4 linked regions of the Anolis sagrei genome follow. The protein of the gene in region 1 purifies or fractionates together with the protein of each later gene. This does not show direct contact. Links are inferred from orthologs where the notes say so. Each region holds a gene or a part of one and is shown on either strand. Other genes may lie near its edges.

Evidence for each region.
Region 2: the proteins of SINHCAF (region 1) and SUDS3 purify together in Homo sapiens (affinity purification with mass spectrometry; 3 studies listed by BioGRID and IntAct, counting the BioPlex papers as one, with this or other methods). This does not show direct contact. The link is inferred for Anolis sagrei from reciprocal best matches to the Homo sapiens genes SINHCAF and SUDS3.
Region 3: the proteins of SINHCAF (region 1) and SAP130 purify together in Homo sapiens (affinity purification with mass spectrometry; 3 studies listed by BioGRID and IntAct, counting the BioPlex papers as one, with this or other methods). This does not show direct contact. The link is inferred for Anolis sagrei from reciprocal best matches to the Homo sapiens genes SINHCAF and SAP130.
Region 4: the proteins of SINHCAF (region 1) and SIN3B purify together in Homo sapiens (affinity purification with mass spectrometry; 3 studies listed by BioGRID and IntAct, counting the BioPlex papers as one, with this or other methods). This does not show direct contact. The link is inferred for Anolis sagrei from reciprocal best matches to the Homo sapiens genes SINHCAF and SIN3B.

What each region holds. Positions count from the first base shown.
Region 1 is NC_090025.1:176,835,331-176,843,400, reverse strand, and holds the start of SINHCAF (SIN3-HDAC complex-associated factor), read right to left. Parts: upstream 3,018-8,070; 5' UTR 2,850-3,017; intron 1-2,849. UniProt on the Homo sapiens protein: Subunit of the Sin3 deacetylase complex (Sin3/HDAC), this subunit is important for the repression of genes encoding components of the TGF-beta signaling pathway.
Region 2 is NC_090034.1:45,536,627-45,543,856, forward strand, and holds the start of SUDS3 (sin3 histone deacetylase corepressor complex component SDS3), read left to right. Parts: upstream 1-4,160; 5' UTR 4,161-4,316; coding exon 4,317-4,521; intron 4,522-7,230.
Region 3 is NC_090023.1:220,772,343-220,779,696, reverse strand, and holds the start of SAP130 (histone deacetylase complex subunit SAP130), read right to left. Parts: upstream 3,008-7,354; 5' UTR 2,860-3,007; intron 2,351-2,859; exon of another isoform or gene 2,198-2,350; intron 1-2,197. UniProt on the Homo sapiens protein: Acts as a transcriptional repressor. May function in the assembly and/or enzymatic activity of the mSin3A corepressor complex or in mediating interactions between the complex and other regulatory complexes.
Region 4 is NC_090034.1:59,382,435-59,390,020, reverse strand, and holds the start of SIN3B (paired amphipathic helix protein Sin3b), read left to right. Parts: upstream 1-4,564; 5' UTR 4,565-4,579; coding exon 4,580-4,678; intron 4,679-7,586. Other genes in the region: AP1M1 (AP-1 complex subunit mu-1), read left to right, coding at 34-109, 564-586.

The sequences.
Region 1 (8,070 bases):
GCTCAGGTCCTACCTCTCTAAAGACATCAGCAGGGATCCCATCAGGTCCACTATCTTTGTTATTTTTGGTTATTCTATGTTGTATATCTAAATGGCATTGAATGTTTGCCATGTATATGTGCATAGTCATCCACCCTGAGTCCTGGCCCTGAGTTCCCAGCAGGGTGAGAAGGGCGGAATAGAACTGTTGTAAATAAATAAATAAATACTCTTCAAGGTCTTACTTTTAATTACTTAATTAAGTAATTAATTAAGTAGATTCCATCTGAACATGAGGAAGAACTTCCTGACTGTGAGAGCCGTTCAGCAGTGGAACTCTCTGCCCTGGAGTGTGGTGGAAGCTCCTTCTTTGCAGGTTTTTAAACAGAGGCTGGATGGCCATCTGTTGGGAGTGCTTTGAATGCAATTTTCCTGTTTCTTAACAGGGGGTTGGACTGGATGGTCCAAGAAGTCTCTTCTAACTCTCTGATTCTATGAATTAATTACTCTTCAAGGCCCCAGCCTCCTTCTCCCACTTTCCCCCATTGATACAGCCATGGCAGCTTTTGTTGTGTATTATTTTTGGGTTTGGCCTCATGTTAGCCTCCCTGAGTCCCTTTTGGAGAGATGGTGGCGGGGTATAAATAAAGTTTATTATTATTATTATTATTACTTAGTTAAGTAATTACTAATTATTCTTCAAGATCCTAGCCTCCTCCTCTCACTTCCATTTATTATAGTTGTTGTTGTTCATTCGTTCAATCGTCTCTGACTCTTTGTGACCTCATGGACCAGCCCACGCCAGAGCTCCCTGTCGGCCGTCACCACCCCCAGCTCCTTCAAGGTCAGTCCAGTCACTTCAAGGATGCCATCCATCCATCTTGCCCTTGGTCGGCCCCTCTTCCTTTTGCCTTCCACTTTCCCCAGCATAATTGTCTTCTCTAGGCTTTGCTGTCTCCTCATGATGGGGCCAAAGTACTTCAGCTTTGTCTCTAGTATCCTTCCCTCCAGTGAGCAGTCGGATTTTATTTCCTGGAGGATGGACTGGTTGGATCTTCTCGCAGTCCAAGGCACTCTCAGCACTTTCCTCCAGCACCACAGCTCAAAAGCATCGATCTTATTATTATTATTATTAAGCATCGATATTATTATTATTACTTAATTAAGTAATTATTAATTATTCTTGAAGGCCCCAGCCTCCTCCTCCCACTTTCTCCCATTGATACAGCCATGGCAGCTTTTGTTGTGATGTAATTTTTCTGTTATTTTGTGTTTAACTTTCCTGTATTATTTTTGGCCTCATATTAGCCTCCCTGAGTTCCCTTTGGAGAGTTGGTGGCAGGGTATAAATAAAATTTATTATTATTATTACTTAATTAAGTAAGTATTAATTACTCTTCAAGGCCGCAGCCCCTCCTTTGGAGAGATGGTGGCGGGGTATACATAAAGTTTATTATTATTATTACTTAATTAATTATTAATTATTATTCAAGGCCCCAGCCTCCTCCTCCTACTTTCCCCTATTGATACAGCCATGGTAGCTTTGGTTGTGATGTGATTTTTCTGTTATTTTGTGTTTAACTTTGCTGCATTACTTTTGGCCTCCCTGAGTCCCCTGTGGAGAGATGGTGGTGGGGTATAAATAAAATTTATTATTATTATTACTATTACTTAATTAAGTAATGATTAATTACTCTTCAAGGTCCCAGCCTCCTCCTCTCACTTCCATTTATTATTATTATTACTTAATTAAGTAAGTAAGTGTTAATTACTCTTCAAGACCCCAGCCTCCCCCTCCCACTTTCCCCCATTGATACAGCCATGGCAGCTTTTGTTGTGATGTGATTTTTCTGTTATTTTGTGTTTAACTTTGCTGTATTATTTGGTGAAGTATAAATAGAGTTTATTATTATTATTACTTAATTAAGTAATGATTAATTATTTCTCAAGGCCCCAGCCTCCTTCTCCCACTTTCCCCCATTGATACAGCCATGGCAGCTTTCGTTGTGATGTGATTTTTCTGTAATTTTGTGTTTAACTTTGCTGTATTATTTGGTGAAGTATAAATAGAGTTTATTATTATTATTACTTAATTAAGTAATGATTAATTATTTCTCAAGGCCCCAGCCTCCTCCTCCCACTTTCCCCCATTGATACAGCCATGGGAGCTTTTGCTGTGATGTGATTTTTCTGTTATGTTGTGTTTAACTTTGCTGTATTATTTTTGGACTTGGGTCTCATATTAGCCTCCCCTTTGAGGAGATGGTGGCAGGGTATAAATAAAGTTTATTATTATTATTATTACTTAGTTAAGTAAGTATGAATTCCTCTCCAAGGCCCCAGCCTCCTCCTCCTCCTCCCACTTCCCCCCCTTGAGTCAGCCATGGCAGCTTCCCTTTCCCCATCTACAGGTGCCAAACAGTGGAGAGTGGAACGTTGGGACCATAATAGAACGTTGGTGGACTGAACGTTCGAAATGGGACTTCCGGGATTCCCCAAAAGCAAGGGAAGTCTTCCTTGCCTTGATTGAGGGGCAGGGCTTGGCTGCAAACAGGTAGGCAGCCTTTGAGGGTCACCTGGGTCAACAAAGAGCACTCTTTCCCTCCCTTCTGAGACCAAAGAGAGAGGAGGAAGGAAGGAAGGACTCCAGGGCCAGGCACTCTGCCTTGCCTGCCTTGCCTTCCCTCCCTCTGCAGAGACACTCCTTCCTCGTCCCCGGCCATGTGGCGCCCCCGACCTGCAACAATGCCTTCCCGCTCCAAGCCCAACTCCGGTTCAATCACGCCTCCAATCACTTTCCAACTTATCCTCACATCGTAGTTCTCTCCAAAGGAGTTTGGAGGTTTTCCCCAAACTTTTCCAACTCTTACCTCCCACAAGTCACTCTTTTGTGCAGAAAGCCTTCCTCGCCTCTCTCTCTCTCTCTTTCTGCCTCCCTCGTTTGTCTCGCTGCTGGGATGCCAAGAGCAAGCGCCGGGCTCATTGGCTTAACCGCCAGCCCCGCCTGCGCATGCGCCATTCCCACGGGCTGGCTCCTCAATGGAGCGCCTTCTCGGCGTGTTGCATGTCTCTTTAAGACGAGAGGGGGCCGGGGGAGCGACGGGAGGCAGAGGATGAGGGGGCGTGGTTGCTGTGACGTAAGGGGTGACGTCACAAAAATAGAATGGGTTACATTCTTGAATGAGAATGGAATTCAAAGTGAGTTTTCCGGGCTGTTTGGCTATGCTCCAGAAGCATTCTCTCCTGATGTTTCGCCCACATCTATGGCAGGCATCCCCAGAGGTTGTGAGGTTTGTTGGAAATTAGGCAAGAGAGGGTTATATCTCTCTGGAATGTCCCAAAATGGGAGAAAAAAAAGTATTGCCTGCTTGAAGCAAGTGTGAATGTTGCAATTGGACATCTTCATTAGCATTTAATCGCCTTGCAGCTTCAAAGCCTGGCTGCTTCCTTCCTGGGGGAGTCCCACCTTGATTAGCATTTAATCGCCTTGCAGCTTCAAAGCCTGGCTGCTTCCTGCCTGGGGGAATCCCACCTTGATTAGTATTTAATCACCTTGCAGCTTCAAAGCCTGGCTGCATCCTTCCTGGGAGAATCCCACATTGATTAGCATTTAATCGCCTTGCAGCTTCAAAGCCTGGCTGCTTCTTGCCTGGGGGAATCCCACCTTGATCAGCATTTAATCGCCTTGCAGGTTCAAAGCCTGGCTGCTTCCTGCCTGGGGGAATCCCACATTGATTAGCATTTAATTGCCTTGCAGCTTCAAAGCCTGGTTGCTTCCTGCCGGGATGAACCCCACCTTGATTAGTATTTAATCACCTTGCAGCTTCAAAGCCTGGCTGCTTCCTGCCTGGGGGAATCCCACCTTGATTAGTATTTAATCACCTTGCAGCTTCAAAGCCTGGCTGCATCCTTCCTGGGGGGATCCCACTTTGATTAGCATTTAATTGCCTTGCAGCTTCAAAGCCTGGTTGCTTCCTGCCTGGGGGAATCCCACCTTGATTAGTATTTAATCGCCTTGCAGATTCAAAGCCTGGCTGCTTCCTGCCTGGGGGAAATCACATCTTGATTAGCATTTAATCACTTTGCAGTTTCAAAGCCTGGCTGCTTCCTTCCTGTGGGAATCCCACCTTGATTAGCATTTAATCACCGTGCAGCTTTGTCAGTTTGGATTCAAAAGTCCCACAGAATGTTGTGTGTATTTTTAATATATATGTGTGTGTGTGCGTGCGTGTGTGTGTGTTGTATGTTATTAATATACAGTGCAAGAGCACCCATTGAGGCACACGAAAAGGAGGCAGCAGCACAAGTGCAGTTATTTATGCCCAGTCTGGACTAACATGAGACCCAAGATGGTTCACAATACAGTGTAAAACAAAATACCACTCCAAAATAAATGATTCTATAGAATCATCAAAATTGTAGTTGGAAGTGTCTTTATTGATCACTGAGTCCAGCCATCTGCTCAATGCAGGGTTTCCAGGTGAAGTAGCTCTGTATCCTGTTTTTGATGATATCCAGAAAACTGCACCTTCATTCTAGGCAGTCAGCTCCATTACCAAACCATTGTTTGTTGTTGTTGTGTGACTTCAAGTCATGGTCAATAGGAAATATTCAGTCAAATTATCCTTCAAATGCATGAAACCCTTAGACTTGGTCAGATGTGCTCCCTCCTTTCTGTAATTAAACAGTACAGTCTGGTCACCCTTTATCATCTCTTTACCAGGATGAACACATCCATTTCTTCAACCTTTCCTCGTGTTTTGTCTTCTCTGAACTGGCTCCAACTTGCATCCTTTCTGAATGTATTACAGCTGGCCCTCCTTACCCAGAGGTTTATGGGTTCCACCATGGCTCAACATTATTTTTGGGGGGTGGGGGGGAGAGTTATTTAAACCTTTATTGTGCTGAGCATTATGCTGATATGTAGAGTTATGCTGCTTGTAGCCCCTTGCCATTTCACAGGTCTGAAATGCTCCCTCCGGCACTGTTGTTGTTCATTCGTTCAGTCGTCTCTGACTCTTCGTGACCTCATGGACCAGCCCACGCCAGAGCTCCCTGTCGGCCGTCACCACCCCCAGCTCCTTCAAGGTCAGTCCGGTCACTTCAAGGATGCCATCCATCCATCTTGCCCTTGGTCGGCCCCTCTTCCTTTTGCCTTCCACTTTCCCCAGCATAATTGTCTTCTCTAGGCTTTGCTGTCTCCTCATGATGTGGCCAACGTACTTCAACTTTGTCTCTAGTATCCTTCCCTCCAATGAGTAGCCGGGCTTTATTTCCTGGAGGATGGACTGGTTGGATCTTCTCGCAGTCCAAGGCACTCTCAGAACTTTCCTCCAACACCTAGGGAAGGCTGAGCGAAGGAAGATCGATGCTTTTGAGCTGTGGTGTTGGAGGAAAGTTCTGAGAGTGCCTTGGACTGCAAGAAGATCCAACAAGCAACCTTATTTTATTCAGTATGGTCTCTGAAATTTGCACAAGGAACAGGGGGAAAAGTGCAAATTTCACAGATGACCACTTGAAGAAACGTGGTGACAGCTTACTTTACTTTCTATCAGTGTCATGAAAGGCACACACAGAAGTACTTCCTTCATTGCATAGTATATAAACACATTACCTTTGGATAGGCTGATATTACTGCTAAGCAGCTTGATAATTTATAAACAGGCAGAACACACCAGCAGGATGTTTTCTATTAGCTTTGTATAGAAATGATCTTATATACGTTATGCAGTTTGCAATAGGTTTTTGTATCTTAACTTGCCAGAGAGGGTTGCCAGTTTAGGTCTTACGTTACCTCCCATGTGTATAAAAGGTAAATGTAAAGGCTTCCCCTGACATTAAGTCTAGTTGTGTCTGATCCCAGGGGGTGGTTCTCATCTCCATTTCTAAGCTGAAGTGCCAGCGTTGTCTATAGACACCACCTAGGTCATGTGTCCAGCATGACTGCATGGAGCGCCATTGCCTTCCTATTGATCTACTCACATTTGCATGTTTTCGAACTGCTAGGTTGGTGGAAGCTGGGTGTAACAGCGGGAGCTCACCCTGCTCCCTGAATTCAACTTGCAAATTCAGCAGCTCAGTGTTTTCACTTGCTGGGCCACCAGCCCCCCCCCCCCCCCCCGGGTGTATGTGTGTATATGTTTTGTCTATTGACTTCAATAAAGCACTGTTGAGCAGACTGTATTATTCTCACAGTTTTATTTGTAAAGACCATTGCATGAAAAGCTGCATTTAATTGTAATCCAAACCCCGGGAAAAGGGAAAAGAAAATCCAATGCACATCAGTTTGTGATATGTATGCTAAAGTGCTTGAAATAACAATACTTTTACTGATATCCACTTCCTTAACATTATCCAGTCTTGATTAACTTACTAATCATGTAAAACATAAAACCAGCAACATACTCTAGGGTTACTTAAGGGATGGGGAGGGAGGGGTTCTTTAATAAACTATACCTCATCTACTTGTACAATTTCAACTGTAACATACAACATTTCCTTAATAAGATATTTACTTTTGATGAGAGGAAGAGAAAGCAAAATACATATAACGGCAGCATTTCTCAAACACACTAAACCAAAACAAAAACAAACCCCGATTAACAGCCCAGGCCCAAACTTTTTTATTCAGAAGTCATTTCCATGTAACTCCATTGGAATTTACCTCTGAATATATGGGCTGCAGAAGATGAAATACAGTTTTCCAGCACCGAGATAACCTCATTCTGGTTAGCCTGAGATTTGTGAACTGTTCACACACTAATCCGCATTTAAATTCTATTAAAATACTATATTAGTATAGCAGTTATGTTAAAGAATGTTTGAGAGAAACTGTTCCTGAATACAGAATTAACTGTCATTAACCAGAATGCTTTGGTCATCTTAAAATTCACTTTCTCACATCTACAAAGGCTTATTAATACTGATGCCAAAAGGGTGTGCTAAACTGTGGAGAACCACAACTAAGTCTTCACCCTCCTTAGAAAAGACAGCAGTTTCTTTACGTTCCAAATGCGCAAAACTGTCTGGCGGTTATTTTCTTTTATTTGCAAAGTTGCACATGAAAGGGAGAAAACAAACGTCCACAACGAAGTGCACTCCTGAAGTTGTCAAATTGACAGGTCTATCGAAGATCAATCTCATGCTTCAAAGGTTGGGATAATACTACATAAATGTACAACACTGGAAAGAGACATACGAGGGTTGAATGAAAAATAATGCCTCCACCTTCGTAACTCCTCAACAGATGGCAGTACTGGTATGCGGCAGGTACTGGCTTGTTCAGTAGACTCCCCTCTACAGTTCCATTTTGGCCTTAGCATTGAACAGTTGTGTTGTTAAAGTGCGAAGTATGGAACCCTGCACAGACGATCGGTCAATGCAACTTAAGCAACGTGCAGTCATTGAATTCTTGACAGCAGAAGGTGTCACCCCAAAGGAGATTCATCAGAGAATGCAAGTTGTTTATGGTGATTGTGTTGATGTGAGAACTGTGCGTCGTTGGGCGAGTACGTTTAAAGATGTTGAGGTGACACCACCTGCTGTCAAGAATTCAGATGGTCAGTCAATGCGACTTAAGCAAGGTTAAGTCATTGAATTCTTGACAGCAGAAGGTGTCACCCCAAAGGAGATTCATCAGAGAATGCAAGCTGTTTATGGTGACTGTGTTGATGTGAGTACTGTGCGTCGTTGGGTGAGTACGTTTAAAGATGTTGAGGTGACACCTTCTGCTGTCAAGAATTCAATGACTGCATGTTGCTTAAGTCGCATTGACCGACAGTCTGTGCAGGGTTCCATACTTTGTACTTTAACAACACAACCGTTCAATGCTAAGGCTTCCCACCAAAATGGAACTGTAGAGGAGAGTCTACTGAACAAGACAGTACCTGCCACATACCAGTACTGCCATCTGTTGAGGAGTTATGAAGGTGGAGGCATTACTTTTTATTCAACCCTCATATATAAGATGTTTTTCACACACCATTCATGTGGAGTGAAACTGCCGACTATGATGTTTGACTTCACAGGCTAGCTGTAGAGCAGGCATGTGCAAACTTCGGCCCTCCAGGTGTTTTGGACTTCAACTCCCAC
Region 2 (7,230 bases), on another chromosome or scaffold:
TACCATTGCTTTAACTATGCAGATTGATTCATTGCCAGTATGATGTCTCTACGCATAACCAATTTATTGAGATTGGTTATTGCTCTCTTCCCAAGAAGGAAACATCTTCTGATTTTCTGGCTGCAGTCTGCGTCTGCAGTCATCTTCACACCTAATAATACAAAGTTTGTTGCTGCCTCCACATTTTATATTTATTTATACCCTGCTTTATCTCCCCTGAAGGGGACTCAAAGCTGTTTTTGTTCCTGGATTATAAAGGTCATATCCTAATTGATTCTAACATAAAAACATGGGAAAAGTTGAATAAACTGCCCAAACGTTGGTTTTTACATGGCATCCTGCAGCACATTTTGCTCTAGTTTTTCAATGAATATCTCATCATTTAGTCTCAACCAATTCAACATATAACCCTTCCAGACAGGCCCTATATCCCAGAATCTGATCCCATGTTTTCTACTTTAAACTGGGGGCTCTTCCATACAGCCCTATATCCCGGAATATCAAGGCAGAAAAGCCCACAATATCTGCTTTGAACTGAATTATCTGACTCCACACTCAGATAATGTTCATAAAGGGAAAAGGGGGCATGCAGGATTGGGGAAAGATTGGCCTTTGTCATCTGAAGTTCATAAGGGAAGACATGGTTATAAAATATTATTTACTTGGCATTCCCTTTTGCTAGCCTCAGACAGAAAGGCCTTGGAATCCTTTGTCTGTAGGTCATTGACTGGTATAGGGGACAATTAGCACAGTTGTTAATTCATGGGTCTGCTTAGGTAGGCCAAAGGTCAAATGCCTTTTGTGACAGGGTTACCAGTAAATATAGCAATTACCTTTTGTTATAAATATGTAAAATATAGGGCATAAATCTTGATTAAATGTACACACAATTTAACATGGGAATGGTCCTTGTTGTGGTTGTTAGTCCTTCTGCAGATTGGCCAAAACTTAACTCTTATTATATCATTCTGATGTTGAACACGAATTTGGAAGGCCCTGCCAAGGCAGAGACCAGCTAGACCCAAAAGGGGGATCCAAAACATCTGGCAAGACAGCAAGCACAAAGAAAGATTTTCCCTTAATTTCCCAAATAAAGTCTCACCAAGTTGAAGGAAAGCCACCGAAGTTTTTATTTCATTCCAGTTGGAACGGATGACGACTGCAGTTATCTGCCTGAGGAGCTGACATGCTCACTGGGCAAGGAAATAAAATATTTATAGAACTGTCAAATTCAAATCTCCCGTGCCCACCTCCTGGTGGTTGGAGTATCAGCTGACTGGGAGGAGCAGCCGGGGAGGCTGCGTTCTGTCCAATCAGAGCACTAGCCCCGCTTCGGCCACTCAGCCAATGAGTGGAGAGGAAAGCGGGCCAGAAGGGAAACAATGAATGAATGAGTAAAGTGATGAGATTATGAATGGCCTCTTCCGCACCTGTATTGATAAGAGGGCCAAAGCGATAGCTTAGCTCTCAAGCCTCAGCCCAGACTATTGTCCTGAATCTTGAAATATCATCTTTTGTCTGGCCCCAAAGGATAGTTCCATTGTCTTATAATCCAGTGATATTTACTTGATGATGAGAGAGTTTTCACAATGGGCAGTGACACATAGGTGCCTTCTGTGTTGAATGTTTTAACGTGTCCATGGGTCACATCTTCCTGGATGGTCTGGTTAATGAGACCCTCCGAAGTCCTGGAGAGGGGCCATTGGTCCATGCAAATTGTTTTGGTCAAGTCCTTTTGTTAGGGGATTACTGGCTCAGGAAGTTGTGGAGTCCCTAGAGCCATGAGTTTCTGGCATGGTTCATGAAAAGGTCACTTTGCTTCATAACTTTTATACATACACACATATAATGGATGGTGGCACTGTAGGGGCAAAAACGATCAAGATAATCCACAAATCCAAAATCCAAGAGCAGATTGCCCCTTCCCAAGGAGGGCGAGGAAGGACACCACGAAAGTTGAATCTTTAAAACTGCAAAATGCTATTTATTGTGCAGCTGAAGCAATAGTGACAAACATGCATATAGAAATGCAATAAAGGGATTTGTCCAACCTAAAGTTGGTTGCATTGATTATTTATGACTTTCATTAAAACAGTTTGATTGGTACATAGAAATCAATCATCTCATTGGTTCCCAAAGACAAATCATTTCATTGGTCTAAGTTAACTATGCAGTTCATTAGTTGTTTGTGATTTTGATTGACATTATAGCACACGTGGGATCCTAACAATGGCACAAGTATAACATAACTATAGTCCATTGTTCTCTGACCATGACTGTATCTTATCTGTTAGTCTGTTGCAAACATGGCTTCAGAGCGACTGGGAAACTTGGGGGTTCTATCTAGCAAACAGCTAGCTGGTTTTGTCCGGATATGTTGTTACCCTTGAATAGTAACTTCTTCTTTGGAGCACTGATTTCTCAAACAATCAGCATTTTCTGTGAACAAAGGCCTACTGCAGAAATAGGCCAATATGGCAGTAAATCATGACATATGGGCATTGGGGAAATATATGAAAATTCCCTTTTTAAAACCACGTCCCCTCCAGCACGAGGCATATACAGAGATCATATGAGAAAGGGGGAGGCATGCAGGGTCAAGGGGGAATTCATCTCAGTCACCCCAAAGTCCATAAAGTTCATGAAAGTTGGCAAGAAGTTAATAAAAGTTCTCAAAGGTTTCAGAAAGTTCATGAGAGTTCATACAAGTTAATAAAGGTACCGAGTAGCTAAAGTCCATTAATAAAAACAGGAGGTTCATTCATAAGTCCAATTCATAAGTGGCGAGATTGGCCTGCCAGTGGTCGGGGGTCCCAAGGAGTGACCACAGGAGACTCCCCGGGTTTGAGAGGCTTCCAAGTCAACGTGCACAAGAAGAACAGGTTGTGTGGAGCCATGGAAATAAACCTTCCATGCAGGCATGTAGCGGGGGGGGGGGGGGGGGGGGGGGACAAATTCTCATGGTGGTTCGCGAAAAGGCCTTACTGGTGCATTATTTAAACTGTTATGTTTATTCATATCATGATCTGATCACCATACTCAATATATCCCATATGCATGGGGGTATTCAGATAATGATACAAAAGGTTTGCTAGTCTAGACCCTCTTTCACTCAGACTCAGCCCCCCCCTCGAAACTCAGCCCCCCCCCCCCCGAAACCCCCCTGAAAATTTTTTACCCCCCCCCCCCCCCCCGAAACGAAATCCTGGCTACGGGCCTGGTTCCATGCAAAGAGGTGGATCTCCGGGCGCAGGGGTCCATTCAGCAAAAAGTAAGATAGCAGTTAGTCTTAGAATTGACCCAGGAAAAAGATGACATTGATTTGGAGTCGATCGGTCAACCTGCAGACACCAGTGCCAAGCTGGTTTCCGTATCCGCGGTTTGAAGGATCGCAGTTTCGGGCTCCCCAGTACATTGTAAGAGTGTCGCAGGTGAGCCAGCGGAGTTCCGCGGCTCGGGAAGAGGAGGGTTCATATTAATTGGTGTTAGAGTCAGTAAAGGGACACAATGTATCATTGCAGAGAGAGAAACATTAGAGAAAATAATACTTTTTATTGGGGGGATTGTTACAATGAAGCGGGGGGGGGGGGGACTAGGAGGGAGGAAAAAGGTTTCTCAATTGAAGCTGTTACTGGAGCCCCAGTCCTTTGGTTCATCTTGAAAGTCCATGTTGTCAGGAACTGTGGAACTCCCTGCTGCATTCAAATCAGTTTGAAGGCGGGGGCCTCTGAGTTCGACCTCAATTCCAGCTTGCTGTCCTTGGCAAAACTATGAATTCCCTGATTATAAACTATCTTTTATCGGGGGGGGGGGGGTCACTTCCACACAGCCCTATATTCCAGAATATCAAGGCAGAAAATCTCACAATATCTGCTTTGAACGGGGTTATCTTAGTCCACACTCAGATAATGTGGGATTTCCTGTCTTAATATTCTGAGATATAGGGCCGTGTGTACGCCCTAACTGAACGCGGAAACACTTCACGAAGCGTGTGGGTCCATGACTGAGTCGAGTCTATGTTCAAGGCACTAAGAGATGGACGGCACCTGTGCTTTCCGCCTAAGGGAAGCGCTGCGGTCCAAAACTAGTGATGACAACGAGCGCGGGTAAAGACGCGCGAAGGCTTCACGGAGCGCATGCGCAAGACGAGGAGGCGGGGGAAAGATCCGGAAGCGGCTTGTGCGCCTGCGCGAGGGAGCCGAGCTGCTCCTTCGCTCGCTGTGAGGCGAAGGAGAAAAAGAGCGGGTCTCGAAGGGGGAGGGGAGGGGGCGCGCGCTCTGCGCCGCTTTCTCCGCCGCTTTCTCCGCGCTGCGGCCATGAGCGTCGCGGCCTTGGTTTCCCCCGCCCTGCCCTCGCCGGGGCCGCCCCCTCCTCCCACCGCAGCCGTTTCTACGACCACGGCGCTTCCCCCCGGGACAGGCCCCGCCCCCGCCGCCGAGAGCTATGAGGAGGAGGACCTAGACAGCCCGCTCGACGAAGAGGATGGCGAGCGGAGCGGACGCGCACGGGACTCCGACGAGGGTGAGTCTGGAGCGGCTTCTCAGGGGGCATCCACACTCCAGACCTAACGCGGTCTCGTGCCGCTCTCTTTGCCCCGGCTCAATGCTGTGGGCTCCCGGGAGTTGTCGTTTGTCGAGCCTTTGCCAGGGAAGGCGCCGGACTTGGTGAAACGAACAGCCCGAGGGATTCTGTCGCCTTGGCAGTTCCGCTGGTTTCGAACCGCGTTAATCCGACAGTGTAGGTGTCAGAGCGATGGTGCGAAGAGAAAAGGGAGATGTATTGTCGAAGGCTTTCATGGCTGGAATCACTAGGTTCTTGTGGGTTTTTTCGGGCTATAGGGCCATGTTCTAGAGGCATTTCTCCTGACGTTTCGCCTGCATCTATGGCAAGCATCCTCAGAGGTAGTGAGGACCTCACTACCTCTGAAGATGCTTGCCATAGATGCAGGCGAAACGTCAGGAGAAATGCCTCTAGAACATGGCCCTATAGCCCGAAAAAACCCACAAGAACTTAGAAAAGGGAGAGCTCGCAACGCTTCCAGGGCCCCTTCCATGCCACTTTTTAAAATCGTACATTATCTGCTTTGACCTGGAATATATGGCAGTGTGGACTGAGGGCCCTTCCGCACAGCCCTATATCCCAGAATATCAAGGCAGAAAATCCTACAATATCTACTTTGAATTGGTTTATCTGAGTCCACACTCAGATAATGTGGGCTTTCCTGCCTGGATATTCTGGGATTTAGGGCAGTATGGAAGGGCCCTCAGATAACCCAATTCCACACAGATTTTGTGGCGTTTTCTGCCTTGATATTCTGGGTTATATGGCTGCGTGGAAAGACCATGGGTTCTCCGAGTCCACACTTCCAGATCACACTGGGTCCTTCCACGCAGCCGTATAACCCAGAATATCAAGGCAGATAATCCCTAAGGCTATGCTTTGAACTGGATTATCTGAGCCCACACTGCCAGATAGGGCTTTTACCCCAGGATCTGATCTCAGGTTTTCTGTTTATCCCAGATTATCTGGCAGTGCAGACTCATAATCCAGTTTAAAGCAGAAAACTTGGGATCAGATCCCAGGTTATATGGCTGTGTGGAAGGCCCCCCAGAATATCAAGGCAGAAAATTCCACAATATCCGCTTTTAACTGGGTTATCTGAGTCCACACTGTTATATATTCCAGTGCAAAACAGATAATGTGGGATTTTATTCAGCTGTGTTGAAGGGGCCCCTTTCTACACTGCCATATAATCCACATTCTCAAAGAATTGGATTATATGAGGCCCTGTCTACACTGCCCTGTATCCCAGGATCTGTAACCATGGTTGCTCTTTATCCCAGGTTATTTTATTGTGGTGGTGGTGGTGGAGGATGTCACATAACTGTCACCTCTGGTTGCTTGATAGATCCCCCCCCCCCATCTTGATTGACAGTTGCTCGAGGATTCTGGTTGCTCAGGTTCCCGCTAACTGAGGGGCCTTCCGCACAGCCCTATATCCCAGAATATCAAGGCAGAAAATCCCACATTATCTGAGTGTGGACTCAGATAACTCAGTTCAAAGCAGATATTGTGGAAATTTCTGCCTTGATATTCTGTGTTACATGCCTGTGTGGAAGAGCCCTCAGAATCTGCTGTTACAATTTTTTAAAAATCTAAACCGAAGCAACCTGGGATAGGTTTGTGGGAGCAGATAAACCCAATCTGTGTAGAATCCTGGGATTTGTAGTTTGAGAAGCCACCAGCAGTCTCAAGGCCTTGCCAAACTACAGTTCCCATGGTTCCCTAGCAGTGAGCTGTTGAACTATTCATTTGACAGTGTGAGAGAGAGCATCCCGTCTCCCTCCCACACTGCCTTTCCCTTTTTCCTTTGTGCCATGTCTTCCTTAGATTGGAAGCCTGGGGCAGGAAACTGTTGGGTTCTTGTTTTTGCAAAGCCTGGCGCCATGGAAACAGATGGAGGAAATCAGGATGCTCTTCACCCCCAAAATGTTCCCCAATTGTCTGCGTGAGCCGGTGTGATAGCAACTCTTCTGCTTTCACGTGGCTTGATATAAACAAACCATGCTTCATGTCCAATGTTTTGTTTTTTTTAAAAAAACATTGTGCATGTGAAACATAAGAGGATTTTGTGTTTAGACCCAAGATATCTCACAATATATGTGCAAATATTCCCCAACACCTCTGGTCCCAAGCATTTCAAATAAAGGATTCTTGAGCAATTATTATAATAGATGTGACATTCCTATTGATCTGTCTCTAGGGTTTGAGTATAGAAAGAAATAGAAATCAAGACCTGGTAATGGGTTTCAGACCAGCCTTCCCTTTATAATACTAAGTAACACAATTTTTGTTCCTGGGTTATAAATGTCATTCCTGATTAGTTCTTTCATAAAATATGGAAAAAGTTTATTAAACTGCATCTTGCAGCACATTTTGCTCTAGTTTTTCAGTAAATATCTCATAGAGTCTCAACCAATTCAACGTAATTTGTGGCAGCCACAAACATGAAGTTTCTGTATAACAGCTCCTTTAAAAGTAAGCACCGTACAATCAAACAGGAACAACACTTTCAAACCAGGAACAGAACATTTTTCAAAATTTGTTACCTAGGGTAATCAACTTAGTTTCTTTACAATGGTAAAGCAGATGCCCAGATCCCTTGTCATTGAAGTAGGTGCATAGACAAAAATCTACTGGTTGCTTGTACTCTGATGCAATGCTGATGCT
Region 3 (7,354 bases), on another chromosome or scaffold:
GCAGACATGTATACTATGTTCCTAAATCAGAATATTTTATTAGGCTCCATCACAGCTAAATATACAACATATTTTTCAATATTACTAATTTATTTATTTAGTGTTTATATTCCGCCCTTCTCATTCCAAAGGGGACTAAGAGTGGATCGTAGAACACATATATGGCAAACATTCAATGCAGTTATACACTGACAAGACAGACAACTGTACATAGAATACAGTTTTGGCCTTCAACTCCCAGAAATCCTAACAGTTGGTAAACTGGATGGGATTTCTGGGAGCTGTAGGCCAAAACACATGGGGACCTACAGGCTGGGAACCACTAACATAGATAGAGGTATATATCTTCTGCATCTGTGCTTGGTTCTGCCACCAGGGTGGGGGTGCTGTTGCTCCACTTTTCCCTGTGGAAGAGCTTTTTTGCCCATCTCTAGCATCTCTATGCCTCGAAATTATTTCTGATCCTAAGATGAACTTATCATGAACCTTCCTTAGCAAGATTTGTTCTGTGAAAGTTTGTCTTTGCCCTCTTATGAGATTCAGAGTGTGTGACTTGCACACCCCAAGTGGGTTTCCATGTCTGAGTTACATTTGAGTATCCAGAGTCACAGTCCAATGCTCAAACCACTACACCATGTTGGCTTTCATGAGTAGCTATTACTTGATGTGTTGCCAAAGAATTTCATGGCCGGAATCACTGGGTTGCTGTGAGTTTTCCAGGCTGTATGGCCATGTTCCATACATTTAGAATATTATAATGTAATACAGTATAATACTACTACTAATAATATGATATTATAATTATATATTTTATATTACATGTAATATTACTAATAATATTACAATATAATTGTATAGTACAATATCGTGATGTATAGTGCTGATATTGTACTGTGCTAATGGTATAATGTATTGTATGTACGTATCTATCTTGTAAGCCGCTCTGAGTCCCCTTCGGGGTGAGAAGGGCAGAATATAAATGTCGCAAATAAATAAATAAATGTTCCAGAAGCATTCTGTCCTGACGTTTCATGTACATCAATGGCAGGCATCCTCAAAGGTTGTAAGGTCTGCTGGAAACTAGGGAAGTGGGGTTTATATATCTGTGGGATGTCCAGGGTGGGAGAAAGAACTCTTGTCTGTTTGAGGCAAGAGCAAATGTAGCTATTGGCCACTTTGATTAGCATTGAATGGCCTTCAAAGCTTGCCTGGTTGCTGCCTGGGGGAATGCTTTGTCTGGAGGTGTTAACTGGCTCCAATTTATTCTTGTCTGGAATTCTCCTGTTTTCTGAGTGTTGTTCTTTATTTACTGCCCTTAGAGTTTTTTTAATACTGGTAAATCAGATTTCCTTCATTTTCATGGTTTCCTCCTTTCTGTTGCAACTGTCCACATGCTTGTGGATTTCAATGGCTTTCAATGACATTCTGGAACATGGCCAGACAGCCCAGAAAACTCACAGCAACTCAGCGATTATTCGATTTATCTCCCCCCAAAAATACTTAAGGCAGTTAAGAAACGACAGGCGCTGCAACTGATCAGTCTCAATGGCCACATAGTCATCATTCCTATGCAAAGGAATTAATGAAATTTGGCAGCACTTTAACTGTTATGACTCAATGCTGTGGAATCCTGGGAGTTGTAGTTTGTGGCATTCTGGGAGTTGTAGTTTGGTGAGAAACGGACACTCTTTGGCAGAGAGCAAAGGAATTAATAAATTTTGGCACCACTTTAAGAGCTAAGGCTCAATGCTGTGGAATCCTGGGAGTTGTAGTTCGTGGCATTCTGGGAGTTGTAGTTTGTGGAATCCTGGGAGTTGTAGTTTGGTGAGAAACGGACATTCTTTGGCAGAGTTGGCTAAAGACCCTGCAAAACTACAACTCCCGTGATTATGTAGCATTGAACCGTGGCAATTAAGGTGGTATCAAACTGCAATAATTCTACAATAGAGATGCACCGAAGGGCTCTTTCCACCCCCCATTCTCCATTCCAACGCAGACGGAACTCCCAACGATCGTGGGGAGCCTCTACACTGAATAATTAATGCGGTTTGACCCCGCTTGAGCTGCCACGGCTCGGTGCAGAGAAGGCTAAAGACCCCCATCATTCCGAGGCACTAAATCAGGGCAGCTCAAGTGTTGGCGAACTGCATTAACTGGACAGTGCAGACGCCCCTCTTGCTGATCCCGCTAATCCCACCTTCGTTGCCCAGGATCAGCTGCTGTCCTCACATTTCGGCCCCGTCTAACTTTCTTCTCTGGCGGCAGCTGCGATCAGGAGGCTTTGGGTGCCAAATCCGGCCGCAAGAGCGAAGGCATCGAGCAGGGGCGTCTCCGGAGCTCTGGATCTCGGCGCAAGCCCCGCCCATTCGAGCCTATGCTAGCCCAGCCCCCACTCCCGCGGCGACCAATGGGAAGCAAGCCTCTCCTCCCGCCTAGCCAATCCAGCGCAGGGGCGAACACAGCCTACCAAGCAACAGGCCCCGCCCACGGGCTAATGTGTAAACCCCGCCCCTCCTCCAATGGCAAGTCGACTTCTCTCTACATCTGGCCAATCCAACACAGAATGGAGAAGGCCCTCCCAGCCAATGAGGAAGCCTGTAAACAGCCAATGAGGAGGCGGGCGATGGCTCGTTGTCCCGCCTCCCTTCTCCTCCCTGATCACTATGTGAAACAGACGCGCAAGGCCGGGGACCCGGATGTTGGGCGAGGATAAAAAAGCGACCGCGAACGCACTCTGAAGCAATCGAGGCCTCGAAGAGGAGGTGCGCGCCACTCCGGCTTGTCTTCTCCAGCGCTGGCTGGCGGGCGCCTCTCTACGGAGCCCTGCCTCCGAAGCGCGTCCCTCCCCCGGCCAGTTACCTGCAGCCGGAGTTGCGGCGGAATCTCCCTCACGAAAGCCCCCAGCGCCGCTTTCGGGGCTGACACCGCGCGGGGGCTCAGTCCGGGAGTGTTGCTTCCGCTGCCGCAGCGACGCACCCCTCCCCGCTTCTCGCTGATTGGCTCCCGGCTAGTTCCGCCCACTGTGGCGGGAGGCGGCGATTGGTCAGAACGCTGGTCGCGAAGGGGCTCCTGGGAGTTGGAGTTCGAGATCTGAGCCTGGATTAGGGTGATGTCGCGAGACGCTAGTTGGAGCAGAAAGAGTGCTATTGGTCCCTCGGAAGGGGGCGGGACGCTTGTGTGTTCTCTCCGCCTACCGAGGCCCTGATTGGTTGGCTTCTTTGTGAATGGCTTTGGAGGGAGAAGCAGTTTCTCTGCTTCATATAGAGATGGCGGGAAAACAGACTGGGAGCAGTAAGAGAGCATTGATTTATTTCCAGCATTTCTACCCCATCCTTCTCAACCCGCGAAGGAGGACTCAGGGCGGCTTACATTTTTTTTTAAATTTTATTATTACTATTGTATAATACATAGAAACATTCCATCTTTGAAAATAACATTCAAAATACCAGTTTTTTCCCCAATCCCGCCACCAGCACACCCCCCCCCCCCCCGGGAACAAATAGATACTTTAACTGTGTTTATTACAATTGTTCAATCATGAGAATAGTTTTGTTCAACACCGTATATTTATCTTTCCCCTTTATTCTATATATGAGACCCTTCCATTTTGCTTTCCATGTCTTTTTGCTTTGACCCGTCATATAGTAACTTTTCCTTTCGCTAATATAATCTTGAAGAAGGTAATCTGCTAAATATTTGTACCAGGTTTTTGTATCCCATTTCTTGTGGTCTTTCCAGCCCAGGGCCACTGAGGCTTTAATTCCCTCTATCATATGTTTTATTATTTCCTCACTTTCCTTATATTCCTCTTTATTTTCGAATTTCTGAGTGAAAAATTGGGCCTTATTCCATTCTATCTTGATCCCTAATAGCTCCTCCATTTCTTTCCTGATTATTTCTTGGAACTTTTGGATTTTTTCACATTCCCACCACATGTGGGCATATGTTCCTATTTTACCACAGTTGTGCCAACATAATTTTGGGCACGTTTTTGTGATATGCGCCAGTTGCACAGGAGTTCTGTACCATTTTGTCAATATTTTTCGTTGCATTTCTTTAATCTTTAGGTGTTTTATTTTATTGATTGAATTAATCCAATTGTCTATTTCTCTCTCACTGCAACTTAATTCCTCCTTCCAGACTTCTATTAGGGTAGATTTTGTGTTGTATTGTATTTCGGTGATTGTGTTATATATAAATCCCATGATTCCTTTCTCCCTCTCTACTTTCCATTTTATTATTTTGTCGAGATTTGTTTCTGAGGTTTCCTTATTCTTCAATTCTATTAGCTTTTTAGACAGCCCTCCCCATTGTAACCAATTTCCATGCCCGCATTTATCTTTTATTTCCTCCCATTGAATTACAGTCCCGTCTGGTTTTAGTAAGTCCTCAATCTTTGTTATTCCGTTTTGTTCCAGTTTCTTTAGAATGTTGCGATATAGCTGGGGTTTTCTGTTGTCTAAGGAACCTATTGGGAGCTTGTCTATTTTATTTACTGGGAGTTTATTTTGCCATTTTCCCCAACAAGTCATTGTTAATGACAAGGGGCCTCCTTTTATGTTTTTTAGTTCTTTCCCCCCAATTTTCCCCATAATGCAAGATCCATATTCCCACCCGTTTGTTAATTTCTCTAACCTAACCCATCTTTTGGGCTCACCGATATCTAATTCAAGTAACCTAACCAATTGACAGGCTTCGTAATAGTTCTGGAGGCAAGGTGCTCCCCAACCTCCATTTTCTTGTGGAGTATAAAAAATTGAATTTGCAATTCTGGTTTTACTAGAGCCTACTACCCATGTTTTAATTGAGTTATCCCATTTCTTTATTATTTTGGGAGGAATGCTACATGGAAGGCATTGAAATAAGTACAAAAATTTGGGCAGTATCATCATTTTATATGTCTTCACCCTTGTTGTTATATCCCAATTCCATTTTTTCCAATTGTTAATCTGTTTGCTTATTTTCTTCCATAGTTGGTTATAATTTATCTGAATTATGTTATTTAGATTTTTAGGTATATACACTCCTAAGTATTTTAACTTCTTTTCCCCCAGTTTGACCCCTAGAATAGATTGGACTTCTTTCACCTCCTTCCAGTTCATGTTTTTAGGTAGGATTTCTGATTTTTCAATATTAATTGTTAAGCCTGAGATCTTTTCAAATTTTTTAATTTCTTTCGTTACTTCAATTACCGAATTCTCCATTGAACCTATGAGGACTACTGCGTCGTCTGCATACAAATTTATTTTTATTTCTTCTTTATCTATCTTATATCCTTTTATGTTTTTGTTTGATCTGATTAGATTAGCAAAAGGTTCTATCGCTAGTGCAAAGAGAAGGGGGGAAAGAGGGCAACCTTGTTTGGTTCCGCTTTTGATTTCAATAGTTCTAGAATTGGATCCGTTTACTATCACTTCAGCTAGATTATCTTTATACAGTTCCTTAATTACTCCACATATCTTTTTTCCTAAGTTACTCTCCTCGCATAAGTTAGCCAAATAATTATGATTTATTGTATCGAATGCTTTGTAAACATCTAATTTTATTAGGAGTAATTTTGTTTTCTCTCTAGTTGCATGGTCAATTATATTTATGATATTTCTAATTGGGTCCGCTATCTTTCTTTTTATAGTAAAGCCGTATTGATCTTCCTCAATTAGAGTGGGTATTACCTCTTTCAGCCTATTAGCTATTATTTTTGTGAAAATTTTGTAGTCCACGTTGCATAAAGTAATAGGCCTATATGAGTTGGGGTCAGTCCCCTCTTTGTTTGGTTTTAAAATTGTTGTAATTTCGGATTTTTTCCATGTTTCTGGAATTAGTTTATTTTCCATGATTTCATTATATAGTATTAGTAAATTAGGGGTGACTTCCTTTTGAAAAATTTTATAGAAATTTGTAGTGAGCCCATCGGGGCCTGGTGAAGAGTTTATTTTTAATTTCTTTATTACCTCCTCTATTTCATTGCTAGTGATGATCCTGTCCAGTGTTGCTTGGGATAGAGGGTCTAATTTTTTTTGGAGTAGTCCTTCCGATTTCACTGTATCCTTACTTGTGTACAGCTTTTCGTAGTAATTGGCCATTATTTCCTTTAGGTCCTCCTCACTTGTTTTTATTTGGCCCATCTCGTCTTTCAAATTAAAGATTTTTGTTTTCCCTTGTTTCTTTTTTAGGAAATTTGCTAATTTCTTTGTGTTATTTATGGAGTTTGTCTGAAAGTCGTTCTTGACCCAGATATATTTCTTTGTACTTTCAATTTCCTCCAGGTTTTCTAGTTGTTTATTTAACTCTATCCATCTCTTTTTCCCCCCCACTGTTTGGTCTTTTTGAAATGATTGGAACGCTTCTTCTACTTCAGACCTCAATTTCCTTAATCTTTCATTTTCTCTTTTATTTATTCCCTTCTCGATTGTTATACACTTTCCTCTAATTACTGCCTTGAAAGCATCCCAAACTATGTTTTCTTTCATTCCAGGGGTTCTGTTTAAGTTAAAATACTGAATAATTTGTTCATTTATCTCTTTCCTGTCTGACTCTTTATAAGCAACTTTTGGGTTAAATCTCCATTTTTTCACTTTGTTTATGGTATAATTTCCTAATTTTAAGTAGAGAGGTGCATGGTCTCCTGGCCAATAATTGCCCACCAAAAGTTCTTTTATTGGCATTGTGTTGTTGATACCCACCAGGAAATAGTCTATGGTAGAAAATGTTGAGTGCCTATGTGAGTAGTGTGTTGGGGTATCTGCTCGTTCCCCTATTCTATTGTTGGCCTCTATTAAGTTCCACTTACTGAAATTTATCTTACAATTTGTACCTGAATTTCCAGTTCTATTACTCTTCGTTTTTTTGTACAATTGTAAATTTAGGTCCCCACCGACTATTATATCTCCTATTGCATGCTTTTCTATTTTTGAGCAAGTTTTGTTTATAAATTTTACTTGTTTCTGATTTGGGGCATAGACACTTGCTATTGATACCTGAGTATTGTTAATTTTACCTATTATCATTATGAATCTACCTTCAGTATCTTTAATGACCTTTTCCAACACAAAGGTTTTCCAACACAAAGGCTTACATTTGATACAGTTTGATGCCATTAAATATCTAATCAGATCTAATGTGCCAAATAGTCTCTGTTGTATGTTTTTATGTTGAATGTTTTTATATTGTGTATTAAATTATATTTTAAATTGTAAGTCGCTCGGAGCACCTTGGTGGAGAGCGACTAATTAAGAAATAAAGTGAAGTGAAGTCAATATAACAAGAATTAAAACAATAAATAGGATTTTAATTAAAACAATAAAAACAGTATTAACTGCCGTATCACCATTCCAATCATATTCCACATCCAAAG
Region 4 (7,586 bases), on another chromosome or scaffold:
TTGGGGTTGCAATATATCTCCTTCTCTCCTTAGGTCCGCTACTTGAAGATCATCGAGAAGAGCGGCTACCAGGCCTTGCCGTGGGTGCGATACATCACGCAGAACGGAGGTGCGTTGACAACAGAAAAAAGGAAAAGCACAATCAAATCCCTTCCGACAGATGGCCATCCAGCCTCTGTTTCAAAGCCTCCAGGGAAGGAGCTTCCACTGGATTCTGAGGCAGAGAGTTCCACTGTTGAACAGCTTTATGTGTTTTATCTCAGATAACCAAAAATGGTGGTAATGGGTAATATAAGGTGGAACACTATATCTCTAAGTGGGGGGCAGTAGTAAAGTGCAGGGACTGTAAATTGGGGTCATAACTGGGAGCCAGCATTTTTCTGGGGAAATCGTCTAATCAAAAGCACAGTGGAACATATCTTGTAATTTTTATTATATAATAATATAATATAATTAGAATGATTTATTATTATTATTATTATTATTATTATTATTATTATTTTCACGTTTCCTTCAGGAGGGTCTAGCTTTGCTCACTCATCCGTTTTGTCTTTTTTGTCTAGATTACCAGCTACGGACGCAGTAGCATGTGGCCAAAAATAAGTCCCATTCCGGAGTGCGTTTGGTGCTTGGAGGTCTGGGGAAAAGCCCCGTTCAGTGTTGTCCGTCTTAGGAGTAGCTGTTGCCCGGGAAGGAGGCCGGAGCCTTGCAAGTATTAGCCTGAGTATTAGCTCCTTCTCCTCTATAGATGGGGAGGGAGAGAGAGAGAGATCCATGTTGGTGCCTCTTCTTCGTTCGAGCCAATCCCAGGTTGCCATTTCATCCCAGGTTTGCGTGTTATTGTGTTTCGTTTCCCCCCAAAGCAATGGCTTTCTCTCTTTGTGAAGTCCATGCCATGTTTTGCAAACAACTGCCTTAATGCTGGTTTCTTTGAAGGCAGGTTTAGCCCAACCCCAATGTTGCTTCTGTCCCATTATAAGTCTATGGGTTCGAGGTCAGGTTTGGCAACGGTTCACAAACAACCTCATAATTGACCATAACCCTTGTAGCTCGTTGTGTCGGTGTCTCTTCTGAATAAATTTCATTTCTCATGATCCGAACCTTGGCTCCACTTTCATCTGTTTGACGACCTCAGGTATAATATAATGGTATAGTAATATATAATACTGATATTGTACTATGCTAAAAATATGGCAGAGAGATGTCAACTCTGTTGCTAAGAAAAAGATCTATGCCAGTGCAAAAGCTGAGGTCCAAAGGACAAGAGAAGTCAAGAACATCTGGTGGACAAAGAAGGCTGAAGAAATCTGGCAAGACGAAGAAGCCCAATATTCCTAAATAAGTTGAAGAATGTTGCACCATTAAGCTGTATTTCTGGCATTGCAGAGGGATTGGTCGGTGCCTTTTGCTGGAAGATCACTTTGGTTTTCTCAGTGTTCAGTGAGAGCCTGAGCTTCCCATATGCTTCTGCAAAGGTATTTAGAGAGGCATGTAGGTTTTCTTCTGAATGCGCACAGACTACGTTATCATCGGCATATTGGAGTTCTATAACAGATGTTGTGACCTTGGTTTTGGCTTTCAGTGGGCAGAGGTGAAATAGCTGCCACATAGCCATTAGAGGGCATCTTTTAATAGGGAGTGAATAAAGGGCCTGCTTTTCTGCAATGAGACACTAGATGGCGGCCTTGTATACGGCTTGTGTCGGCCTTTCTCAGTATTTATTTGTAGTGTCAGGGCAACCAGTCGATTATATTACATTTCTAACAGAACAAAGCAAACAAACAGACAAAATACAAAATATGTGAGTTTGGTAGTTGATTAAATGTCCTTTGACCAGTATCTGGCCACTTGGAGTGCTTCTGGTGTTGCCGCAAGAAGGTCCTCCATTGTGCATGTGGCAGGGCTCAGGTTGCATTGCAGCAAGTGGTCTGTAGTTTGCTCTTCTCCACACTTGCATGTCGAGGATTCCACTTTGTAGCCCCATTTCTGAAGGTTGGCTCTGCATCTCGTGGTGCCAGAGCGCAGTCTGTTCAGTGCCTTCCAAATCGCCCAGTCTTCTTTGTGCCCAGGGGGGGGGTCTCTCATTTGGTATCAGCCATTGCTTGAGGTTCTGGGTTTGAGCCTGCCACTTTTGGACTCCCGCTTGCTGAGGTGTTCCAGCGAGCGTCTCTGTAGATCTTAGAAAACTATTTCTAGATTTAAGTCGTTGACGTGCTGGCTGATACCCAAACAAGGGATGAGCTGGAGATGTCACTACCTTGGTCCTTTCACTATTGGCTGCTACTTCCCGGCAAATGTCAGGTGGCGCAATACCAGCTAAGCAGTGTAATTTCTCCAGTGGTGTAGGGCGCAGGCACCCCGTGATAATGCGGCATGTCTCATTAAGAGCCACATCCACTGTTTTAGTGTGGTGAGATGTGTTCCACACTGGGCATGCGTACTCAGCAGCAGAGTAGCACAACGCAAGGGCAGATGTCTTCACTGTATCTGGTTGTGATCCCCAGGTTGTGCCAGTCAGCTTTCGTATGATATTGTTTCTAGCACCCACTTTTTGCTTGATATTCAGGCAGTGCTTTTTGTAGGTAAGAGCACTGTCCAGAGTGACTCCCAGGTATTTGGGTGCGCTGCAATGCTCCAGTGGGATTCCTTCCCAGGTGATCCTCAGAGCTCGGGATGCTTCTCTGTTCTTGAGATGAAAAGCACATGTCTGTGTTTTAGATGGGTTGGGGATTATTATTATTATTATTATTATTATTATTATTAAACTTTATTTGTACCCCGCTAATCCCGAAGGATTCGATGTGGCTTACACAGGCCGAGGCCTCAACACACAACATAGCAATACAAACTAGGCAAATCAAACAATTAAAAACAGGATAAAGCAGATAAACAACAGGCAAAAGCAATACACTAAAACACAATAAAAACTGGGCCAGGCCAAAGTAATGGGTACAAGAATTAAAAGTGCTGATGTGACAGGTGGTGTATATGAGTCTTCTAGGGCAAGTGTGATGTGCAGCAGTCATTGGTTCTGATAAGGTGCTTATGGGACTTGGTAGTGGAGATTTCCTAATCTGGGAAGGTGCATCGGAAAAGCCAAGTCTTCAAGTTCTTTCTGAAGACTGCCAGTGTGGGGGCCTGTCTAAGGTCTTTGGGGAGGACCCAGAGTCTGAGGGCCACCACGGAAAAGGCCCTGTCCCGCATCCCCACCAAGCGCGCTTGCGACGCAGGTGGGATCATGAGCAGGGCCTCTCCAGATGACCGAAGTGAGCGTGTGGGTTCGTAGATGGAAATGTGGTCACGCAGGTAAGCTGGTCCCAAACCGTTCAGGGCTTTGTAGGTAAGCACCTGCACCTTAAATTGAGCTCGGAATATAGCCAGTGGAGCTCCTTGAACCGGGCTCAATTCAAAGTGCTGGCGTTGGCCTATAAAGCCCTAAACGGTTCTGGCCCAAGTTACCTATCCGAACGTATCTCTGCCTATGAACCCACCAGGACACTAAGATCTTCTGGGGAGGCCCTGCTCTTGATCCCGCCTGCATCACAAGCAAGGCTGGCGGGGACGAGGGACAGGGCCTTCTCTGTGGTGGCCCCTCGGCTGTGGAACGCCCTTCCCATGGACATTAGATCAGCCCCTTCGCTAATGGTGTTTTGAAGAAAACTAAAAACCTGGCTGTTTGAACAGGCGTTCGGATAAATAGTGCAATGAACACGATGAATATAGGAAACGGAATTATGGATGACGAATTGGATCACGATTTTAGTTACGAGACGTTAATGTGTTGTTATTGAGATGTCATTAGTTTATATTTTATACTGTTAATAGTTTTAATATTGTATGTTGTTGGATTGTCTTTTGCTCTTGTTGTGAACCGCGTTGAGTCGCCTACGGGCTGAGAAACTGCGGTATACAAGCAAAGTAAATAAATAAATTGAACAGGAGGGTTGACCTCTCTCTGTAAGGGGCTCCCGTTAACATCCTTGCTGCTGATCGTTGCACCAGTTGCAACTTCCGAGCTGTCTTCAAGGGCAGCCTCACGTAGAGCGCATTGCAGTAGTCCAGCTGGTTTTCCCTGTAATAGGCAGTAAGAGCTTCGGAAAGCTTCTGTTCTGCCATCTCAAAGCTCCCTGCTTGAGCGGTGATGGCACGATCATCAGCATAGATGAAACTCTCTGTCCCTTCTGGCAGTGGCTGGCCATTTGTGTAGATGTTGAACATGGATGGAGCAAGTAAAGTAGGGTTGGGTCTCCTGATCCTGCATTTCATCACAAACGTCAAGTCTTTCCCTCGCTCGAGAGAAGAGCGGTGTCCTTCACTTCCTGGTCCCTTCCTTTGGCCGCTCTGCGCCGCAACTCTATGCCCCCCCCCCCCCCCCTCAGCCGCGCGCCTATTTGTTTGGCCGCTCTTTCTGCGCTGTACCCTCTTCCGGTCCGGTTCCTTTTTCCCTTCCGGGCGGGTGCTTCTTCCCGAAGCGCGAAGGTTCCGCTTTGGCCCCACCTCCCCGAGCGCGGTGACGCAAAAGGCGGAGGAAGGAAAGAAGGAAGGAAGGAGGGAGGGAAGGAGGGAGGGAGCGAGGGACATGGCGGCGGGGGGCGGCGGCCGAGCGGGTCCGCGCTTGGGGGGCCGGGCAGCCACAGCAGCAAACGGGGGGCCCACCGGGGAGAAGCTTCCTGTCCACGTAAGTAAGATGAGGGGGGGAAGGGGGGGAGGAGAGGGAGAGGAGAAGTTGGGGGTTGGGAAGAAAAGCCCCTCCCAATCCTCGAATATTGGGGAGGGGGTCCTTTAACCCCCTCTCCCCCTTTTGCCCCCCTTTTGGGGGGGTTGCAAAACGCCCAATAAACTGGGTAGAATGAATGTATGGAACATATATCTCTATCTCTATCTATCTATCAATCCATCTTTCAGACCATCTATCTCTATCTATCTATCTATCTATCTATTTGACTGAAGACCGACAGGTCGCAGGTTCGAATCCGGGGAGAGGCGGATGAGCTCCCTCTGTCAGCTCCAGCTCCCCATGCGGGGACAGGAGAGAAGCCTTCCACAAGGATGATAAAAACATCAAAATCATCCCCTGGGCAACGTCCTTGCAGACAGTCAATTCTCTCACGCCAGAAGCGACTTGCAGTTTCTCAGGTCGCTCCTGACACGACAAAAAAAAATTATCTGACTATCTATCAGACCATAGATACTATCAGATACACAGATACTATCTATCACTATATCTATCTATCTATCTATATTGATCTATCTGACAAAAAAAAATCTATCTGACTATCAGGCCATAGATACTATCTATCAGACTATATCTCTATCTATCTATCTCTATCGATCTATCTATCTGACAAAAAAAAAATCTATCTGACTATCTATCAGACCATAGATACTATCAGATACATAGATACTATCTATCAGACTATATCTATCTCTATATCGATCTATCTATCTCTATCGATCTATCTATCTGACAAAAAAAAAATCTATCTGACTATCTATCAGACCATAGATACTATCAGATACATAGATACTATCTATCAGACTATATCTATCTCTATATCGATCTATCTATCTCCTATCTATCTGACAAAAAAAAATCTATCTGACTATCTATCAGACCATAGATACTATCAGATACATAGATACTATCTATCAGACTATATCTATCTCTATATCGATCTATCTATCTCTATCGATCTATCTATCTGACAAAAAAAATCTATCTGACTATCAGACCATAGATACTATCAGATACATAGATACTATCTATCAGACTATATCTATCTCTATCTATCTATATCGATCTATCTATCTCTATCGATCTATCTATCTGACAAAAAAATACCTATCTGACTATCAGACCATAGATACTATCAGATACATAGATACTATCTATCAGACTTATCTATCTATCTCTATCGATCTATCTCTATCTATCTATCTATCTATCTGACAATCTATCTATCAGACCATCATCAGTCCGAAGACCAAAATTTGCTTGAAGTCCCCAACATCCGGACTTACCATCTGTCCTCTGCTAGGCAGAGACCCTTCTCGATTGTGGCCCCTTATTTATGGAAGGCCTTGCCAGTTGAAACCCGAACCATCCGAGAGCTACTTGCTTTTCGGAAAGCCTGTAAAACCTTTCTTTTCCGACAAGCTTTCAATGGGTGAATAACTCGGGACTGTGTCTGTTCTCGTTTTTATTGTATTTTGAGGTTGGTTGTATTGTTTTAATCTACTGCTATAAACCACTCCGAGCCAAATTGGGGGTGGCGGTATACAAGCCTAATAAATAAATAAATAAATAAATCTACATTTATCTATCTGACTATCAGACCATCAATCTATCTATATCTATCCGTCTATCTGAGTATCTATATCTATCTACCTGACTATCAGACCATCAATCTATCTATCTATCTATATCTATCTATCTATCTATCTATCTATCTATCTATCTATCAGACCATCTATCTATATCTATCTATCAGACCATCAATATATATATATATATATATATATATATATATATATATATCTGACTATCTATCAGACCATCAATTTATCTATATCTATCTATCTATCTATCTATCTATCTATCTGACAATCTATCTATCAGACCATCAATTTATCTATATCTATCCGTCTATCTGACTATCTATATCTATCTATCTATCTATCTATCTGACTATCTATCTATCAGACCATCTATCTCTATCTATCTATCTATCTATCTATCTGACTATCTATCACAGTGGTTCTCAACCTGGGGTCCCCAGATGTTTTTGGCCTACAACTCCCAGAAATCCTAGCCAGTTTACCAGCTGTTAGGATTTCTGGGAATTAAAGGCCAAAAACATCTGGGGACCCCAGGTTGAGAACCACTGATCTATCAGATCATCAATTTATCTATATCTGTCAGTCTATCTGATTATCTATCTATATCTATCTATCTGACTATCTATCAGACCATCAATTTATCTATATCTATCTGTCTGACTATCTATCTATATTTATCTATCAGACCATCTATCTATATCTATCTATCTATCTATCTATCTATCTCAGCCTTTCTAATGCCACGACCCCTGAATATAGTTCCTCATGTTGTGGTGAACCCCAACCATAAACATATTTTCGTTGCTACTTCATAACTCTCATTTTGCTATTGTTATGAATCGTCATGTAAATATCTGATATGCAGGATGTATTTTCATTCACTGGACCAAATTTGGCACAAATATCCAATATACCCAAATTTGAATACTAGTGGGGTGGGAGAGGATTGATTTTTTCATTTGGGAGTTGTCGTTGCTGGGATTTATAGTTCACCTACAGTCAAAGAGTATTCTGAACCCCACCAACGATGAAATTAAACCAGACTTGACACACAGAACTCCCATGACCCACAGAAAATACTAGAAGGGTTTGGTGGGCATTGACCTTGAGTTTTGGAGTTGTAGTTTGCCTCCATCCAGAGAGCATTGTGGACTCAAACAGTGATGGATCTGGATCAAACTTGGCATGGATACTCAATATGCCCAGATGTGGAGGAGTTTGCGGAAAATAGACCTTGCCATTTGGCC